Linked DNA regions of Macaca fascicularis. The protein of the gene in region 3 purifies or fractionates together with the protein of the main gene of each other region. This does not show direct contact. Links are inferred from orthologs where the notes say so. Each region holds a gene or a part of one and is shown on either strand. Other genes may lie near its edges.

The links.
Region 1: the proteins of CTNNB1 (region 3) and YAP1 purify together in Homo sapiens (co-immunoprecipitation; 11 studies listed by BioGRID and IntAct, with this or other methods). This does not show direct contact. The link is inferred for Macaca fascicularis from reciprocal best matches to the Homo sapiens genes CTNNB1 and YAP1.
Region 2: the proteins of CTNNB1 (region 3) and TBL1X purify together in Homo sapiens (affinity purification with western blotting; 4 studies listed by BioGRID). This does not show direct contact. The link is inferred for Macaca fascicularis from reciprocal best matches to the Homo sapiens genes CTNNB1 and TBL1X.

Annotation. Positions count from the first base shown.
Region 1 is NC_088388.1:101,116,967-101,123,453, reverse strand, and holds the start of YAP1 (transcriptional coactivator YAP1), read right to left. Parts: upstream 5,116-6,487; coding exon 4,795-5,115; intron 4,417-4,794; exon of another isoform or gene 3,950-4,416; intron 1,819-3,949; coding exon 1,568-1,818; intron 1-1,567. Other genes in the region: uncharacterized protein, read left to right, coding at 5,114-5,342, 5,400-6,049. UniProt on the Homo sapiens protein: Transcriptional regulator with dual roles as a coactivator and corepressor. Critical downstream regulatory target in the Hippo signaling pathway, crucial for organ size control and tumor suppression by restricting proliferation and promoting apoptosis.
Region 2 is NC_088395.1:9,141,993-9,148,479, forward strand, and holds the start of TBL1X (F-box-like/WD repeat-containing protein TBL1X), read left to right. Parts: upstream 1-2,894; 5' UTR 2,895-3,117; intron 3,118-4,667; exon of another isoform or gene 4,668-5,105; intron 5,106-5,672; exon of another isoform or gene 5,673-6,115; intron 6,116-6,487. UniProt on the Homo sapiens protein: F-box-like protein involved in the recruitment of the ubiquitin/19S proteasome complex to nuclear receptor-regulated transcription units. Plays an essential role in transcription activation mediated by nuclear receptors.
Region 3 is NC_088376.1:104,075,249-104,081,635, reverse strand, and holds part of CTNNB1 (catenin beta-1), read right to left. Parts: intron 1,992-6,387; coding exon 1,888-1,991; intron 1,804-1,887; coding exon 1,465-1,803; intron 1,198-1,464; coding exon 1,039-1,197; intron 1-1,038. UniProt on the Homo sapiens protein: Key downstream component of the canonical Wnt signaling pathway.

The DNA.
Region 1 (6,487 bases), on a different chromosome or scaffold from region 3:
AGCCACAGCATCCACCAAAGAAAGAAGGCAAGCAGGCTATTAAGCTGTTTAAAAATCTCCCCAGGTCAGCATGTGACCCAGCAGGGAGAGGTTCAAAAAAGTGCAGCCTTTCTTTTTCTTCCTAACAACCTGGTTTGTTTCCACTCCCTTCCCCTTCAAGACACATCCTTCACAGCTAGCAGCTCTTTCAATCATTTACTTTGGATGTCTGCTTGAGAACAAATGATCTTGCTCATGCAGATGAGTTTGCCAGACTTGTGTGTACTTTCCAGTCTCAGGCCCTTTACTGTTCTGGTTGAAACCTGATCCTCTGAAATGGATACCAGGACACCAGAAAATGAATTTTAAAAAGAAGAAGAAAAACAAAAAGTTGCAGGAAAGGGGGCAAAAAAGAAACAAAACAAAACAAAAAAAAAAACTACGAACTTTTCATGATCAAACTTTTTCCTCTGCTCTTTTGTAAGTCTGTCACGAAATTTTCTATCTTACATTACAAAGCAGCAACCCACCCTGGAAGGCAATCAATATAAAACACATATTAGGATTCACACAACAAAACATCCTTAATGGTATTACCTGATATGATAAATAAATGTTACACTTGCCTTAGGAGTAGACTGTCAAGACAGATCTGAATAAAAACTTACACTGTTTTTCACTTTATTATCTCAACTTGATTAAACACTATTAAGTGAGCTTTTTTAAAGACATCAATTTCGGTCTATAATAATTAGTTTTAGTCAACATTTTATATATACTTGATCCAAACAAGCCAGAAAAAAATTGAGGTCCTATCTGTAATTTCAAAATTAGAGGAGAGAAACTATTTAGATCTTTTCAGCCTAGTGCAATTTTGCCATTTTGTTAAACACAAAAAGACTGATAAAAAAATAAACAACCCAATGGTCATGTTTTTGTTTTCCCAGAGAGGAGGGTTTCTATTGTGAAGATCTACTAGCTTGAAAGAAGTTTGCCACTGAGAGACTGCGTATGAAACCTAAAAATTTACATTTCCCTTTACATTTTGGGGGGAAATATTGGTAAGTCACATCAAGCTTCAGTTGTAGTGCTTGTCATTTCACAATTTAAAATACTGTAAAATTAGACTCCCCCAAAAGCCCTACTTATTTTGTAGTTCTCCACCAATAAAATATTTATTTAAAAAGATACAAGTAGCACCACACGTACTTCATAAGATGCTGCTAGCCCTAATATTCTCAGAATTTGAAAATTTTCATGGTATTCTTTCTGTTTTGTGCTAGGCTAATTAACAGGTTTGGCACAAGCTCAAAATGAGAATAACCAAACTTCCACAAAAGAAAAGATTATAAAGAGGCTCAGAACCAAGACTCAGTAAAGCTCTCAAAATATTACCCATGCTAACAAAGGTATTTAGGTCACGCCAAACTTAAACATATACATGGGAGATATAACAGAGCTCTAGAGCTTAACATAAATATTAAAAAAAATAAAAACAAATGATATTCTGTATCTTGACACCACTTTACTGTGTCTTCCAATACATATTTTTCTTAGATAACTGTCTCCCACCATTATTTTCACTTACTTTAAGAAGTATCTCTGACCAGAAGATGTCTTTGCCATCTCCCAACCTGCTGGCAGAGGTACATCATCAGGTATCTCAAAAGAAGACTGTCGAAGATGCTGAGCTGTGGGTGTAGCTGCTGGACCAGAGACTACTCCAGTGGGGGTCAGTGTCCCAGGAGAAACAGCTCCCAACTGCAGAGAAGCTGGAGAGGAATGAGCTCGAACATGCTGTGGAGTCAGGGCTCCTGCAGTGCCTGCATCAGTACTGGCCTATTAGGAATATTAAGATGAAAAATTAAAAAAGAAACACAACTTTTTAGAGAGTCCCTTTAAATTTCCCAGTCAGTGCTTAATTGCAGCCGAGTATCTAAGTGCCAAAGGAAAATTTCAACATTTAATATTCGACACTAGAGAACACAGGTTTTCAAACGGATACTTTTAATATTATATAATTTTAATATGTTTTATATTTGTGCTTTTATTGATGAGCAGTCCATCTAATGAATTTCCACCTACTACACACCAGACATGTAAGGGCAACTAGTACTGAATGAATAAAACATTCCAAAAATAATAGTGAATTTTAAAACCTAATTTTTAAAAAGTCACTGCAGTTATGGGTGCTTTTCCAAGTTCTAAAATGTTCTAAGTATAAACACAACGCAAACAATATGCATTTTTTACTAGGTTTTAAGTAATTAATTTTTTTTTCTAGGTCAAGCCCAAGAAAAAACAAGCCCTCGTCATTTTTTCCCACCATGATAAAACGCCATCAATAAAGAAATCATAACAAATTACACAATTTTTAATGAAAGCAACAAATTTGAACTGCCCAAATGTTCTTAAAAGCCATCTACAATGAACAAGATGAAAAAAACTCAACTATATATTTGTATGTAGAAGATAATGAGGTTATCAGTCCAATTATAACTTAAGAACTCACAGACATTCACAACTCTATACAAGCAGAAAAAATTCTGCATTCAGACCCCAAAGATCTGAGTTCCAGTCTAAGCTGGCTAGTGTGACACTGAACAAGTATGTTAACTTCCATATGCCTGTTTTCTCGTTTGTAACATAGTTTTCAAGACAGAAAAATGGATGTATATAAAACAACTTATAGTCACCAGTTTGTGTTGTGAACAATAGTATTCACAACCTACATTCTACTATTCACAATCTTGCATAGTTTTTAAAATGTGTCTAATTAGAATTAAGAGTTTGATTATCAAAAAGTTAGAATTTCCTAGATTCACAAAGGTAAGGAAACCGGAAGGACTCAGTAGAGTCATTAATGCCTTAAAGTGATAGACCTTTCTGAGTGTCCCATCAGAATAAGTATGATTTAGAAAATCACTAGCAGAAATAAAAGTCCAATTTACAGATGAGCAACACTTAGTTAAAAACTTATTAAAAGCAAAACTGTAATAGTTTATGAATTTTAGAACTGCTGGATATAAATTCTTGTAAAAATTACCTACTAGAAGAAAAAGTACACTTTCCAGTTGTGACTCTTTGTCACAAAATGGGGGATCCAATCTATGTGTAGTATACTTTGAAAAAATACCGTGTAGTCTGCAGGGTGCATGCCAACACACATTTACTTACAATGAGTCCATAAACCAACTTCCAGGGGTAAGAAAAAAAGCATACCTAAGTCTATTTCTGACAAATTGAACTGTTTAGGCAAGCAGCTAAATTGTTTTTCCTTCCTTCCTCCTCCTTAACCCGGGTTTTTGTCATCAGGTTAAGTGAGTTTTTCTGAGTTCCAAAACCCTGTGGTCTCTGACAGAAGAATATACAACAGGCCCGCAAATAGGACAGAGGATGGGAGTGGGGGCGGTAACTCTTCTTTCCACTCAAGTTACAGCCCGAGTAGGCTAACTACATTGCAGTATTTGGAAAACCTATTAACTTTTGGGCAAAGTTCCTATGCTGAAGTTTAGCCTGAAGCAAGTTCTTTAAAAAAAAAAAAAAGAAGAAAAAAGAAAAGAAGGAAAAAGAGAGAACCCTACACTAAACAAAACCACTGGGACCTATCGGAATGTTAACACTCTCATTATAAATAGTTTCACTTCTATGCTGAATCAAGCTGGCAAAATAATCGAACGTTGTGTATGTGGAAAAGCAGCCATGTTCATATCCGCAATAAGAATTAAAAAGCAATGGCGATCCTAGAATTAGTCATCGCTTCCCAAACATTAACTTTTAATCACAGTTGAACTAGGCAGGACTTGGCCTATGAGTCAACCCGCAGTGTATTATCAAAGGCTTGTGTTAAAACCTCGGTACTGTAAAGCGCAACTCAGTTCCTGCGCAACGTACAGATGTGGCTAATTCAAAAGCTTTTCAGCCGACTGTAAATAATAGCCTACGATCGGGAAACCAACACGCAACCTACTAAGTTTGATAAGAGCGAGCCGACCCAAGTTCCAAGACACAAGGGAAGCGCAGGGGTGAAAGAACTCCATAAACAACTTCCAGGAAAGTCTGGGCAGGGGAAGCCCGAAACCTGTATTCAGAAATCGCCTAAGCCGCGAGGAAAATAAATGCTTACGGGAGGGGGAGGCAGAGGGGGAGGGGAAATGGGTAGGGGGGAGGGAAAGAAAGAGCAAAAAACTAAATGGACCGGTTCTACCCCCACCTCTAATCAACACTGGAAAACAAGAGAACAATTATTTGACTCCCCCAGGAGACTGAAGTGGACCGAGAGGCCGCAAAGGAAAGGGGCCCAGGGCTCAACTTCACAAACTCGGCCGCCGCTGGCAACTCACCCACACACAAATGCCAGAGGCCCCCCTCCCCCTTTCCCGGCCCGGCCCCGGCGGGAGCGAAGGTGCGGAGCGCGCGGAGGCGCGCGCATTGTGCAAGCCCACCGCGGCCCAGGCTCGGCTCTCCCCCACCCCCTTCCTTCCTCCCCACCCCTCCTCCACTCCCGCCAACCTCCCGGGAACCCCGGGAAGAAAGAAAGGAAGGAGGGAAAGCACGCCCCCCGGGGCCGCAACCGCAGAAAGAAACTCCGAAAGGAAAAACAAATCTCAGCCCCGGACTCTGGGAGGAGTGGGGAGCTGGTCACCGCGGCCGAGCGGACGACTCCAGTTCCTCCACTTCGCCGCGGGACCCCCACCCCAGCTAGAGCTCCCGCAACCCCCTCCCCTGGCCAGAGCTGGCGGCCGCGGCTCCCGAGCGCCCCCCCGGTCTGAGGCCCGCCCGACGGGGAAGCGGGGAGAGGGGCGACAAGGTTACCTGTCGGGAGTGGGATTTGGGCTCCGGCGGCTTGAAGAAGGAGTCGGGCAGCTTCCGGAGCCTCATAGGCACGGTCTGGGGCACGTTAGCCGTCTTGGGGTTCATGACGGCGTTGAAGAGCGCCTCCAGGTCGGTCTCCGAGTCCCCGCGGACGTGCACGATCTGATGCCCGGCGGGGGGTGCCTGCGGCGCCGCCTGGGTCGCCGCGGGTGCTGGCTGCCCGGGTCCGGACGGCGGGCCCTGCCCCTGGGGGGGCTGCGCAGGCGGCTGCCCTTGGCCCTGGGGGGCCGGTTGAGGCGGCGGCTGCTGCCCGGGATCCATGGCTTCTGCCTCCCCCGACGCGCACCCCCTAAACCAGGCGGGCGAGGGCTCCGCCCGGACGCCCCGGCTCCACAGGCCGAGGTGGAGAAGCGGCGACGGCTGCGGGCCGGGCGGTGCTGGGCGGCGGGAGCGACGCTCTCCTCGCTCTCAGGGCCGGGGGGCTGCGCCGCGGCCCCGCATCCCCCGCCCCGGCGCCTCCGCCCCCGCCCTGCGCCCCGGCTCCACTGGTCTGGCGGCTGCGCCTCGGGAGGGGCTGCGAGGGACTCGGACCTGCGGCGCCTGAGAACTTTTTCCCTCCAACTCCCTTGACGGAGGCCGGACAGCTCGTTGCCTTTCCCCTCCTCCCCCTTTCTCTTTTATTTCCTTTTCTTGTTCCTTCCTTCCTCCCTTTCTTTTCCCTGGCGGCGGCTGCGCCCGACTGAGACAGAAACTCGCCTCAGACGCCAAAACTAAAGTTGTGAGAAGCGCCCGCCCGCGCCGCCGCGGCCCCGCCTCCTCTCGGCTCTTCCTTCCTCTGCGCGCCCGCCCGCACCGCGGCCCGGCCGGCAGCGCAGGGAAACTTTTCGCTGCAAGTTGCTACATTCCTGCACACTCCCAGCCCTCCGCGCCTCTCCCGGTCGCACGTGACCCGCTCGCCCTGGTCCGGTCCGCCCTTCGCCCGCGCTCAGCCCGGCAGGGGCCCGGAGCGTGCCCCGTGTTCTACGCCGCGAACCACAAACGCTGGGTCCATTCCGAGGCCGAAGTGTGGTCTCTGCGGAGAACGCGGCCGCCCTTGGCCCCAGAAAGTCCTTCCGCCCCGCTCGGCTCCTTTTCCCGGCCCGTGCTCGGGAAAGGCGCTTCCAGCTCGCCTGGACTTGCGAAAGGACGAAGGCCGAAAGAAGTGGAGAGAGGATGTGCGAACCCACCTCCTCCTCCCCGCGTTACCCCGGCTTGACCGAGCGGAGCGCCAGTGCGGGCTTAAAGCCGCCAGGATAGATGGGAGTTAAAATAGATACGGTGAGCCGGCGCTGATGTTAATAAAGGTCCATTGTTTTCAGCATTAACTTTATTTTGTAATTCTGTTTCACTTATCTGTTAGTGTGCGAAAACTCACTTGAAAGGGTAAACGGTTACTGTAATTGAAGCTTTGAGACCAGGTCTGTGAGTCAGTGTAACTTAGTAAAAGAAACAAAAACACTACATTTTCTAAATAGTGAAATCACATCAACTGTTTTAGTACTCGAGTTTGCAACATAGTCACTGGAAGCCTCAACCCAAAAAAATCAGTGCTTCTTCAGGTACAAGCATTCATTCCTCTGTACCTGCCTTTCATCCTCAGGGAGCTGGGTGCCTACCCCTGCTATCCCTGTGCCTGGCCCAAGGGTGGACTCCG
Region 2 (6,487 bases), on a different chromosome or scaffold from region 3:
CTCCTGGGCTCAACTGATCCTCCTGCCTCAGCCTCCCAAGTAAGTAGCTGGGACTACAGGCTTAGATCACCATATCCAGCTAATTTTTTTTTTTTGAGAGATGGGGTCTCACTATGTTGCCCAAGCTGGTCTTGAACTCCTGGGCTCAAGTGATTCTCCTGCCTCAGCCTTTTAAAATGCTAGGATTACAGGTGTGAGCCACAGCATTTGGCCTGTGTTTCTTTTTTCAAAAAAATTATTAATAGACTATTTTTTTAGAAGAACTTTAGATTTGCAGAACAACTGAGCTGATAGTGCAGACTTACAGTGTTTCTTTCCCCAGCTTCCAGTGTTATTAACATCTTAAGTTAGTGTGGTACGTTTGTAGTGACTAAGGAGCCAGTGTTGATCCATTATTATTAATTAAAGTCCATAGTTACGTGAGGGTTTCCTCTTTGTGTTGTACATTCTGTGAATTTTGACCAATGTATATATACACACACACTTATATGTATAATAACGTGTATCCACCATCACAGTATTACGCAGAGTAGTTTCACCACTGTAAAAATCCACTGTGTTCCACCCATTCATCCCTTCCTCCTCCTTGAACCCCTGGCAACCACTGATCTTATTATCGTCTTACCTGTTTCGCCGTTTCCAGAATGTCATATGGTTGGAATCATACAGTATATGGCCTTTTCAGACTGGCTTCTTTCACTTAGCAATAGGCATTTAAGGTTCCCTTCTGTGTTTTGGGGGTTTGATAGGCCATTTCTTTGTAGTGCTGAGTAATATTCCACTATGTGGGTGAGCCACAGTTTGTTTGTCCATTCGCCTATTGAAGGATACTTTGGTCGCCTCCAGTGTTTGGTGATTATGAGTAAAGGTGCCATAAACCTCTGCATGCAGGTTTTTGGAGGATGTAAGTTTTCAACTTAGTTGGGTAAATACCTAGGAGCACAACTGCTGACCGTACGGTAAGACTATGTTTGGCTTTGTAGGAAATTGCTGAACTGTCTTCTGAAGTAGCTGTACAATTGTGCATTCCCAATAGCAACAAATGAGAGTTCCTGTTGTTCTGTATCCTGTCAGCATCTGGGATTGTCAGTTTTCTGAATTTTAGCCATTCTAATGTATGTAGTAGTAGCTCATTGTTATTTTAATTTGCAATTCCCTAATGATACATGATGTTCAGCATCTTCTCGTATGCTTATTTGCCATCTGTATATCTCTGATGAGATTTTTTTCTGATTGTTTGCTCTTTGATTCAGTTGTTTATTTTCTCATCGTGGAGTTTTAAGAATTATATATATACACACGCACACATATACACATATGTACATATATATGTACACACACATACACACATATACACACACACACACACTTGAAAAAATTAGAGACAAGTTCTTCTCTGTTGCCCAGGCTGGAGTGCAGTGGTGAGATCATAGCTCACAACAGCCTCCAACTCTTGGCCTCAAGCAGAGTTTTACAGGTGTGAGCCACTAAGCTGGCCTGCATATTTTAAATACAATCCTTAATCAGATATGGAATTTGCAAATATTTTCTCCCATTCTGTGACTTGTCTTCTCATTCTCTTAACAGTGTCTTTTGTAGACTTTTCAAATTTTAGTGATGCCCAACTTACTGTTTTTTTTCTTTTATGCATCATGCTTTTGGTGTTCTAGCTACACAGTCATTGCCAAACCCAAGGTCATCTAGATTTTCTCCTATGTTATCTTCTAAGAGTTTTTATAGTTTTACCTTTTATGTTAGGGAGTATGTTCTATTTTAAGTTAATTTTTGTGAAAGATATAAAGCCTATGTCTAGAATTTTTTTTTTTTTTTTTTTTGCATATGGGTGTCCAGTTGTTCCAGCACCACTTGTTAAAAAGGATGAATTGCCTTTGCTCCTTTGTGAAAGATTAGTTGAGTATATTTGTGTGAATTCCTACTGCCTTTTAATTAAAATTTTGGGTACTGTATATGGGGAATGCTGGTGGTATTTGTTGCAAGCAGATTCTTGTTTTCCCCTCCCTCCAGTCAATAACTGAAAATAAGTGTTTGCAACACACACACACACACACGCACACACGCACATGGCTAGTGCAGTGGGTATCTGTGTACATCATTGTGGACCCCTCGCCCTGTTATCCTTCAGCTTTCTCAGAATACACTAGCTCCTTCCGGCTGTACTTTATTTCCTTGTTTTCTCCCACCTTATAGGACTGCACATTTGAAAAATCGTTGAAACAGATTAAATAACACAGTCTAATTATCACCTACCGTACAGCCCATCTAGCATTTCAAAAAGAGGAATTTTGGTGAGTTCATGATAAATGTAGGCGGTCTCTCTTCCTGTCTTAGGTCTTACAGTGTCCTTTGGGGCCCTGTGAATCTATGATAAAAGATATTGACTCTTTACGGGTAATAAGGCCGGTGGGATTATTGGGCTATTACCAACCAGTCAAGATGAATTCTGAGCTCTTTTGCTTTGTCAGTTACAGGAGATCAGCTATAAATCCTGGCCACACAGTGCTCCAGTTTGAGAGTGATGATTTCCACCACTTTCCCATACTTTAAAAGATTGGCATCTGCCAAGTGATCAAAACACACAAAGAGGCCTTTTAACCAAGTTTAGCTTGAATTTCCAGTTGCTAACCACAAGCAGGTCTGGCAAGCTAGGAGGCCGGTTGGCTGCGCAGCTACTCCAGAGTGTGCGGTAGCCGAGGGCTGCGTCCGCGTAAAGCCCAGAGCTGTAATGATGTCAACTTGTTATTTACTTTCCAAATCTGAATGACTGAGCAAGGCGAAAGGAGAATCAATCAACCACAATGTGACCCTACAGGCGGAAAAAACGCAGCGCTCCCACCAGCAGGCGGTGGGGGAAGGGAAGCACGTGTAGCCAGGGCAGGGTTGCATCATGAGCTCTTTCGCTCGGGTTTTCTATTGCACCCTTCGTTTTTCGATTGCATGTAATAGTCAGCATCAGTCTGCACAAGCCCAGGGAGCCCGGGAGCAACGAAGGGCAGGCTCAAGGGAAGGCCCCACCAAGTCCTTCTGGGGGGCCTTGAATGGCAACTGATACGTAATAAGACACAATCTATTCTGCTGATTCACAATTATGGAGACTGTGTAAGTGTGTATTTTTTTTATTGATGTCCTCTAATGATGGTGTAGCAACAGTCATTTTGCATCATTGACGTTTTACGGCAATATTTTGCAGGGTAATTTTGAGGTCCGCCTTTTTGATGGAGGACCGGCCTCTTAAAAACTCACCTCCGGCCGGGCGCGGTGGCTCACGCCTGTAGTCCCAGCACTTTGGGAGGCCGAGGCCGGCGGATTGCCTGAGGTCAGGAGTTCGAGACCAGTCTGGCCAATATGGTGAAACTAAAACTACTAAAAATACAAAAAAATTAGCTGGGCGTGGTGGCGTGCGCCTGTAATCCCAGCTACTCCGGAGGCTGAGGCAGGGGAACTGCTTGAACCAGGGAGGTAGGTGGAGGTTGCAGTGAGTCGATATCGTGCCACAGCACCCCAGCTTGGGCAACTGAGCGAGACTCCGTCTCAGAAAAACAAAAACAAAAACAAAAACCTCACCTCGGGTCCCCCTCCCCCCACAACCAGAACAACAAATGGTCTAGTGTTCGAGGAAGAGCAAGTAAGGTTATAGTTTAGATTGCTGAGTGCACCGGACTCTTAGCACGAAGCTCATTATATAGTAAAGGAAGGGGCAAGAATATTTGAAAAATATTCAACAAGGCTGACCCCAGAGGTGCTGGGGAGGGGGAGTGGAGATCTGTTTAACTGAATTAAGGCCGCGAGTGGTGGGGAGTAGCCTACGTGGAGGGGAGGAAGGAGCGCTGGGGACTTAAGTGCACCGGGGCCAGGCCGTGTAAGCCATTGCAACATTAAGCACTTTGCAAGGCCCAGAGGGCTGAAGCCTGGGGGTTGGGGTGGGAGTGCTGAGGCCCGAGGGCCCAGGTCCCCCTAACCTCCTCAGCCCCCACACCCGAGCTCCTGGCGCCTATGCTTGTGTGTCTGAGTTTGTCCCTAAGCGTTTCTGGCTCTTCCTGGGAGGTGTTTTGCAAAGGTCGAGGCTCCGCCGGAGCCCCCACTTTTTGAGGTGGGGTAAAGACTACTGGGGTGTCTTCTAAGACGCTTATTTTGAGGGAGATTCACCATCGGGCAGGTGGCAGGGGGTTCTCTTGGGGCAGCTGGGTGGCTTCCTTATTGGGGTGGGGGAGGGTAACACTTTAGCAGGGACCGAGGTTCCCCTGCCCCCCCGAAACAGAGGGGGTGGCCGAGGTTCCCGTCCCCTCGAGGCAGTCGTGGAAAGGCTGGGTTTGGGATGTGATGGGGGTAGCCCTGGGGTCCTCTCAGTCCCACGGAGGCCACGGGGAAGGGACCGGGACCGGAGCAACTCGGGAAAGGCTTGGGTTCCCCTCACCCACCCTAGGCGTTGGGGAGCGGGGCGGGCTTGGTAGGGACGCTGGTCCCCCGACCGTGGGGCAGGGGCTGGGTTGGGACGCGGGTCCCCTCTAGGAGCCGCGGGGGAGGGGCAGGGCCGGAGTCCCTACCCTCGTGGGGGAGGGGCTGGTTCGGGACGCGGCTCCCCCGGGGCTCAGGGGCGGGGCTGGGTGGGACGCCGGGTGCCCTCCCACGGCCGTGAGGGAGGGGCTGGCGGAGGGGGCGGACCCCTGGCGGTAGTCCTGGTTGGGGTCCGCGCGCTCGCGACCGCTCCCCGCGGAGGTCACTGCCCGTGCCAGTCCCTCCCGCTGTTCCGCCCTCTCCCGCCGCCGCCGCCGCCGCCTCCGCCGCCGCGCCCGGCTCAGCGGCCCCACTCCGCGCTCGGGAGCGAGGAGTCGCCAGCGCCCCCGCCGCGCCGCCGCCGCAGCGCCCTCCGGCCGCCATTCGCCACCGAAACTTTCCAGCGCCCGCGCCCTCTCCGGGACTCGGCGGCGGCGGGGCGGGGGCGGCCCGGGGGCGGCGCGCGGCTGCTCCAGGGCGCCGGGCCCTCTTCGGCCGCCGCACGGCCGGGGCTCGGAGGCTGCCGGCCGGAGGGAGGTTCGGAGCGCGGCCGGGCGCGCGGCGCCGCCACAAGTTGCGCTGTTCGCGGCGAGGTGAGTGCGCGGGGCTCGGCGGGCCGGGCGCGGGGTCCGCAAACTTCTGCGGGGAGGCGGTTCCCGCGCTGACCCTCCAGGGTCTGGCCGGCGACTCGGGGCGCCCGGACGCTCCACCCGCCCCTGGAACTACAGGAGGCGCAGGTCGCCAACTGTCCCCGTGGCGCTCGGACTGGGGTGCGGCGCGCTCCCAGGAGGCTGAACAATACCCCGAGGTGGCCGCTCCCCAAAGTGCCGGCGCGCCTTGCGGGGAGAGACAGAGGTCGGCGGGGGGCTCCTTTGTTTTGGGGAGGGGTAGGTGACCGGTAAGTTTATGGAAGAGCTCGGCTTTTCCTCTGGTGCCCCTTTGTCTGCCGATCTTGGGGCTTGCTGGGCAAACCTGCGCCACCGCGGGCTCGGGGGACCGGGGTGGAGGGCGGTGGCGGGATTTCCCCGCTGTTGGGGAGAGGAGCCCCATTCATCCCCGGGAAGCGGGCCGGCCCGCCCGGACCCGGGTGGAAGCGCAGCCTTACGAAGTGAGGCAAGCGGCGGGCGAGGTGGCGCGGGCCCCGCGTCTGCTCAGTTTCTGAGGCGCAGAAACTGTCAAGGAAGTCAGGAGCCCCAGTCCTCCGCCCATCTCCCCGGCCCGAGCGCACAGCTGGGCTGGGGACACCCCTGGCCGGTCGAGGGTCTGCAGAGCGCCGCCCGGAGAGAGCGCAGACCTGTTGCTGCTCCTGGGCTCTGGCGGGGCGGGTGGGGTGGGTCTCGCAGATCCTGGGCCCCGGCCTTGCTACCCAGGAGGACCTTCCCTAAGGATGGGACCGGTGCTCGGAGTGGGGTATGGGGAGTGCGCCTTCGGGAATCAGCGCTGGCCGGATATGTGACAACTGTGGGTCGCTGGAGGCCCGCCTGCGCTGGGATAGGGCCTGGACCTCACGTGCGTCGCCTGTGCTCAGTCAGACCGGGGCCGGGACTCGCTCCCTGCAAGGCCTCGTGTTCCCCCAGCCAGCTGCGTTGGACGTTCCACAAAGGTAGGGACTGACGTTTATTTTCCAGTCAGTGATGTTCTGGAGCAAAACCTGAAAAGAAACAAAAACCTATCCTCTATTGTATTTGCGACTGTTTCTGCTTTGCATTGTCATGTGTGACTTGACCTGCCTTCTGGATGTTTTCCTCTCCTGACACATTCGCCGAGCCCCTGGTTTCACCTGGAAGGCGAGGGGGAAGGACGGCAACCTCCCTGCTAAGGTCCCAGGCAGTGGCTTTGGTGTCGGAAGTGGCACTTGAGGATTTTATGAAAAGTTTACAAGTCTTTCCTAGAAAAGATGTGATTAGGAAAAATAAAATACAGAAGAATGTTCAGTATGACGCGTTTATTTTAAAGGGTAGTCATGTCTCAAATG
Region 3 (6,387 bases):
GTACATCTTCCATGTATTTGGTGAAAACTTTGCCAAGTTTTAGCACCAACTGCTAAAACTAACTGAGTTGCCAGCAGAAAAATCCACTCCTCACTCTTCCAAGACTATTCAGCTGACAGTCTCATGTATAGGAGAAGTTAGCTTTTGCAATATTTAAGTACCATCTGTTTCTCCTGTTTCTGGATTTGAGTTTTAAAAGGGGTTATGATTCTGCTACATTTAGCAGCTTTTATAAATAATTTGATTCTTGCAAGGATACAAAAACTCCTTTTTTCCTAGAAAAGAGATTTAAAATAAAAGATTCCCTCAACATTCTATTAAGTCACCTCATGGAGATGGGCCAATACCAACAGTAATAAATGAAGCAAGCCAAAGCCCCAGTATGAGTACATACACAAAGCAACCAGCAAAATGAGATTCCTAAAATCTGTTCTGGTAGGCTCCATCTTTGTTTTCTAAACTAACCTAATTAAATAAGGTCTTAAAGTCTGAGAAATCAGAAGTATCTTCAGACTATACTTTTAATGAAGCTACTTTTAAGACTCAAACTTTGTATCAAAGCTTCAGGTTGAGACTATTGTGGTTAAGAGTACAGAAATGCTACTACTTATTTTTGAAGTATGTCTATACTATATTCTTAGGTCCATGAAAAAAGTTTAACTCACAGAAAAGATAATAAAATGGACTGCTAAATATTTATTGTCAAAATTTATGATGAGGCAAGGGTAAGAAGCTCTGAAATTACACAGATTTGGTCTCAAATTATGACTCTACCTCTTCCTAAGTGGGCCTTTGTGTAAATTAAATGAGAACACTACATGAAATGCCTAACCCAACCTTTGTAAGACTGACCATGTGAAGGACGTGTCCAAGGAAATATCACTGGGGCCACACTATGCCTTATCTTCTCTGCAGTCATATTTTGTCATCAGCTCTTCAGGAAAAGGGACGGGGAGAACAAATGACCAAAGAAGTTCAGATCTTTGGATCTATGCATTCCTTTTAGACAGCCAGGTATCACTATAAGAATTTACCCACCACAAATTGCTGCTGTGTCCCACCCATGGACGTACGGCGCTGGGTATCCTGATGTGCACGAACAAGCAACTGAACTAGTCGTGGAATGGCACCCTGCTCACGCAAAGGTGCATGATTTGCTGGACAAAGGGCAAGATTTCGAATCAATCCAACAGTAGCCTGAAAAACAGAAGGAAGAATTGGCATACAACTCAACACAATCATTTTCTTAGCCTAAAATTCCCACCACAATAAATCTATTGGGAACAACTAAAAGTAGTTCTGACTACACAAACATTTCAGAATCCTACCCCTATCGCAGCCATACTTCCTACTTACTAACGAATACAATTCCTATTTATTGATCACTATGCTTAGCCATCCAACGGCTAGAGATGCTTCATTTTCAATTCTGCAACAAAGGTAAATTCTACTTTGACAATTTACCTTTATCAGAGGCCAGTGGGATGGTGGGTGTAAGAGCTTAACCACAACTGGTAGTCCATAGTGAAGGCGAACTGCATTCTGGGCCATCTCTGCTTCTTGGTGTCGGCTGGTCAGATGACGAAGAGCACAGATGGCAGGCTCAGTGATGTCTTCCCTGTCACCAGCCCGAAGGACAGTACGCACAAGAGCCTCTATACCACCCACTTGGCAGACCATCATCTTATTCTTATAATTATTGCAAGTGAGGTTAGAAAGAATTCCAGCTGCACAGGTGACCACATTTATATCATCTGAACCCAGAAGCTGAACAAGAGTCCCAAGGAGACCTTCCATCCCTTCCTATGAAGATAAAAACAAATGGTCAGTACAAGCACATACTCATCTTGACTCTATTCCCATGGCGTCAATTTACTCAGAATTTACCTGTTTAGTTGCAGCATCTGAAAGATTCCTGAGAGTCCAAAGACAGTTCTGAACAAGACGTTGACTTGGATCTGTCAGGTGAAGTCCTAAAGCTTGCATTCCACCTAGAAAATTAAAAAGGATGTAAGACCCTAGTCATTAGCTAGAAGTTGCTATCAATCCTAAATATATTTTCTAGTCTTAGAAGGTGTCCTTCTTTATTTCCAGAGTTTACTTCCTTTTACCTAAGTATTTGTTTTCCTCTCATTTTCTAGAATGTTGCTCAGTTTCCCTCGTTTTGCCAGTTCACATCACTAGTGACAAATTGTCAAATAGCTACTGTTCCTTTCCTAAGCCGAAGAAGTCTTTGTTATCTCCACTATCCCCCTTAGGTAATATATTTTTTTTTGAGACGGAGTCTCGCTCTGTCGCCCAGGCTGGAGTGCAGTGGCACAATCTCGGCTCCCTGCAACCTCTGCCTCCCGGGTTCATGCCATTCTCCTGCCTCAGCCTCCCGAGCAACTGGGACTACAGGCACCCGGCTAATTTTTTATATTTTTTAGTAGAGACAGGGTTTCACCATGTTAGCCAGGATGGTCTCGATCACCTGACCTTGTGATCCGCCTGCCTTGGCCTCCCAAAGCGCTGAGATTACAGGCATGAGAGCCACCACGCCCAGCGGTAATATTCTTATTAATTTCTTTTCATCCATTCAATCATTTCAAAAATATTTATTCACTATCAGGTCCTGTTCTGAGCTGGAGATAGACCAGTGAGCAAAAATATTCAAAAGTTCCTACCCTCAGAACTTATGATCTAGTTGGAAGAGGCAGACAACAAATATACAATAAACTAAAACCATACAGTAGGTCAGATGATATTAAAGGGCTATGGAGAAAAACAATGGAGTGGGGCTGCAATTTTAAGTAATTAGGTCACCTCACTGTGAAGGTGACATCTGACTAAAGACCTAAAGAAGCTAGGTAAATTTCTGGGGTAAGAACAATCCAGAAAGTCGGCATGAAAACACTTTACTGCCAGGGACTTTATACAGTTCACTGACTGCAATACATGTGTTCCAAGGTTCACGACCTTCCAATCCTTTAGGACCCTTAAATGGGGGACATTTACTCTGGCAAAGGAGTATAAATGGAAACCCAATGCCCACATACTAGATTAACTTCACCCCTCCATCTTCAACTTAAACCACTTCTAAATGCAGTAAGAGATACTTTTCCTTGTCTCCTTCATCTTTTAGGTCTGTTTTATTTCCTCAGATGAAGTCTATTTGCTGTAATTCTTACGGTACCCTGCACTTCTCCTTCATAGTATAAGTTAGTCCACTTTCCCTACAAGACAAAGATCACCTCTATTGGGTTCCTTTTTCATAGTAGCTCCAGCTACTAATAGAAGGATCTGCATAAGATTGATACTCAGGATGCTCAGTATTTGTGAAATGACTACCTTCTTTCCCCTCATTAAGACTTCATTCCCTCCCTTTACATAACTATTAACTCTGAGAATGGATTTTAACCCCAGATGTCCATCAGAATGGCCTACAGAGACTTTAAAACACACACATTCTGTTTCAGCAGTTCTAGGGTAAAAAAAGTCCCATGCAGATGACTCTGTGGCATCTCTATCTCCCGTTCCCTGCTGCCCTTACCCCTATATACTAAAAGGGAAACTTCCAAATCTCTAGCCTGTCTCTCTTGCATTCTCTAGTACCTTACATTTCCAGCTACCTACTGACCTTTTAGTCACTTTAAGTCAGCTTCGTTTTTTGTTTTTTTTTTTTTTGAGATGGTGTCGCTTAGGCTGGAGTGCAGTGGCGCGATCTTGGCTCACTGCAAGCTCCGCCTCCCGGGTTCATGCCATTCTCCTTCTCCTGCCTCAGCCTCCCCAGTAGCTGGGACTACAGGCGCCCACCACCATGCCTGGCTAAATGGCTAATTTTTTGTATTTTTAGTAGAGACGAGGTTTCACCGTGTTAGCCAGGATGCCTCGATCTGCTGACCTGGTGATCCACCTGCCTCAGCCTCCCAAAGTGCTGGGATTACAGGCGTGAGCCACCACGCCCGGCCTAAGTCAGCTTCTTAAATTATTATGTTCAAAAATTAAGGATGCCTTCTGAGGGTTCCATTTATCTTCATGGTACCAATACTGTCCCCTCCACAAACCATTTTTGGTTGCTCCCTTAGCTCCTATATTATTACATTCTGTGATTCTTTCAGACATCTCAGACATTTGCCCTTAGCTATTTAGTTCTAAAACCAAACTATTTGATTCCTAAAAGCCTATAACATCTCAGCAGTCTGGTCTTCTACCTTTTGGTCATTCAAACTGTTAATCTAAACAATGCTATTATTAATATTTTAAACACACCACTGTGATGCTTTGCTATTGATCAACAACCATCAAAAGTGTCTCGGCATCCTTTTAAGATAGCAGACAATACTTTAGTATAACCCCGAGAAACCGTTTAGAATTTGGATCCCACCTAGCCTTCCAAACTGACCAAGTATTCTGTATCTATGGCTCCAAAGCTGGAATAAAGCATGAATAAACTCCATGAGTAGTAAACATCTTATAGGAACCTAGAAAGTCCTGCATGTTATGGCTCTGCTTACCTAACCTCAACCTCATACCAGGCCATCCACCTCATTACTTACTAAGTTCTGTTTACACAGACCTTCTCTTCAGCACCTGGATCTCCACAATCTCTTTCCTTCTAAGGCAAGCTTGTCCAACCTGCAGCCCATGGGCCACGTGGCCCAGGACAGCTCTGAATGTAGCCCAACACAAATTCGTAAACTTTCTTAAAACATTATGAGATTCTTTTGCAATTTTTTGTTTGTTTGTTTTAGCTCATCAGCTATCATTAGTGTATTTGGTGTGTAGTCCAAGACAATTACTCTTCTTCCAATGTGGCCCAGGGGAGCCAAAAGACTGGATACCCCTGGTTCTAAAGACACAGCACATGGTGTTCCTTTTCTCTACCTGGAAAACATTTAACCCTCACTTCTCATACAGACAAGAGAAAGGTTCCTTCTCATCCTGCAGTCCCACTTATCCCCTTTTCAAGGAGACCCTTTCCCTCTCATCTAATTAGACAATTCCCCTCCCCATTAATTCTTATCACTATTTGCTGTTCACTTCTCCCATAACACTCATTCTAATTTATGATCACATATTTTTAAATACTTTTGTCACCTTCACAAGACTATAAAAACAAGCACTGTTGTGTTACCCAATGTATACCATGTGCCTATTCCATTTCTTAAAATACATTAGATGCTATGTTCAGAATAAACAAATGAATATAAGAATAACCTGGAAGAAAAAATTCCTAGGCTTCCGGTCCCATACAAGTCCAGCTATCTACAGACCTCCCTGTCACTTCAAATAAACACTATGAGATCTTGATATAAAAATTAACACTCCAGGGATTCTGACTAAATAAATCTCAAAATCTGTATTTTTAGCCTACATTACAGGTTACTGCTGGAACAGCTGACAGAATTTACATCCCCTCATTCTGTATGAACTCAGCCACATTTGTCTATCCCCAAGCCTATGGCTCCACTGCCAGCAGTTACCTGGAGCAATCATAATGTCTTTCTCTCTCATAAAATCCCAGGTAAAATTACTCTCAATAAGTGGGAAAAATAAGTGTTGCCAGCCCTATACTTTACTCCCAACACTTCCTTCCATTAAATGCCTTTATATTTTTCCCTCTTTCAATACTGATTTGAAGCTTGCTTTGAAATTCCGGGTAAATGTTGTTAGGCGGGTTACTGAAAGGAGAAAAAATGCTAGGTAGCTAAAGAGTATTTTCATGACACACACACACTCCAAGAGGCCCTAGTACAAACCATCTATTCTTTTCCCCAATTGCCAACATACACAAGATACAAAGTACCACATACAAGTTGCCTCCTTAAAAATACTCAGAATAGAAAAAAATTGTTTCTCATACTTAGATGATATCTATTCACTGAGAATACAGAATATCAGGGCAAAACACTGGTCATAATCAGGCAAGAGAAAGAAAATGCATACAAATAGGAAGTCTGTTTGCAAACAATATGATTCTATACCTAGAAAACCCCATAATTTCTGCCCAAAAGCTCCTTGATCCAATAAACTTCAGCAAAGTTTCAGGATATAAAAATCAATGTACAGAAGTCAGAAACATTTCTGTACACTAACAACATCCAAGCTACAAGCCAAATCAAGATTGCAATCCCATTTACAAAAGCCACAAAAAGAATAAAATACCTAGGAATACAGCTAACCAGGGAGGTGAAAGATCTCTACAATAAGAATTACAAAACTCTGCTCAAAGAAATCAGAGATGACACCAACAAATGAAAAGACATTCTATTTCATGGATAGGAAGAATCAATATTGTTAAAATGGCCATACTGCCCAAAGCAATTCACAGATTCAGTGCTATTCCTATCAAACTACCAATGGCATTCTTCACAGAATTAAAAATATATATATATTTAAAAATTC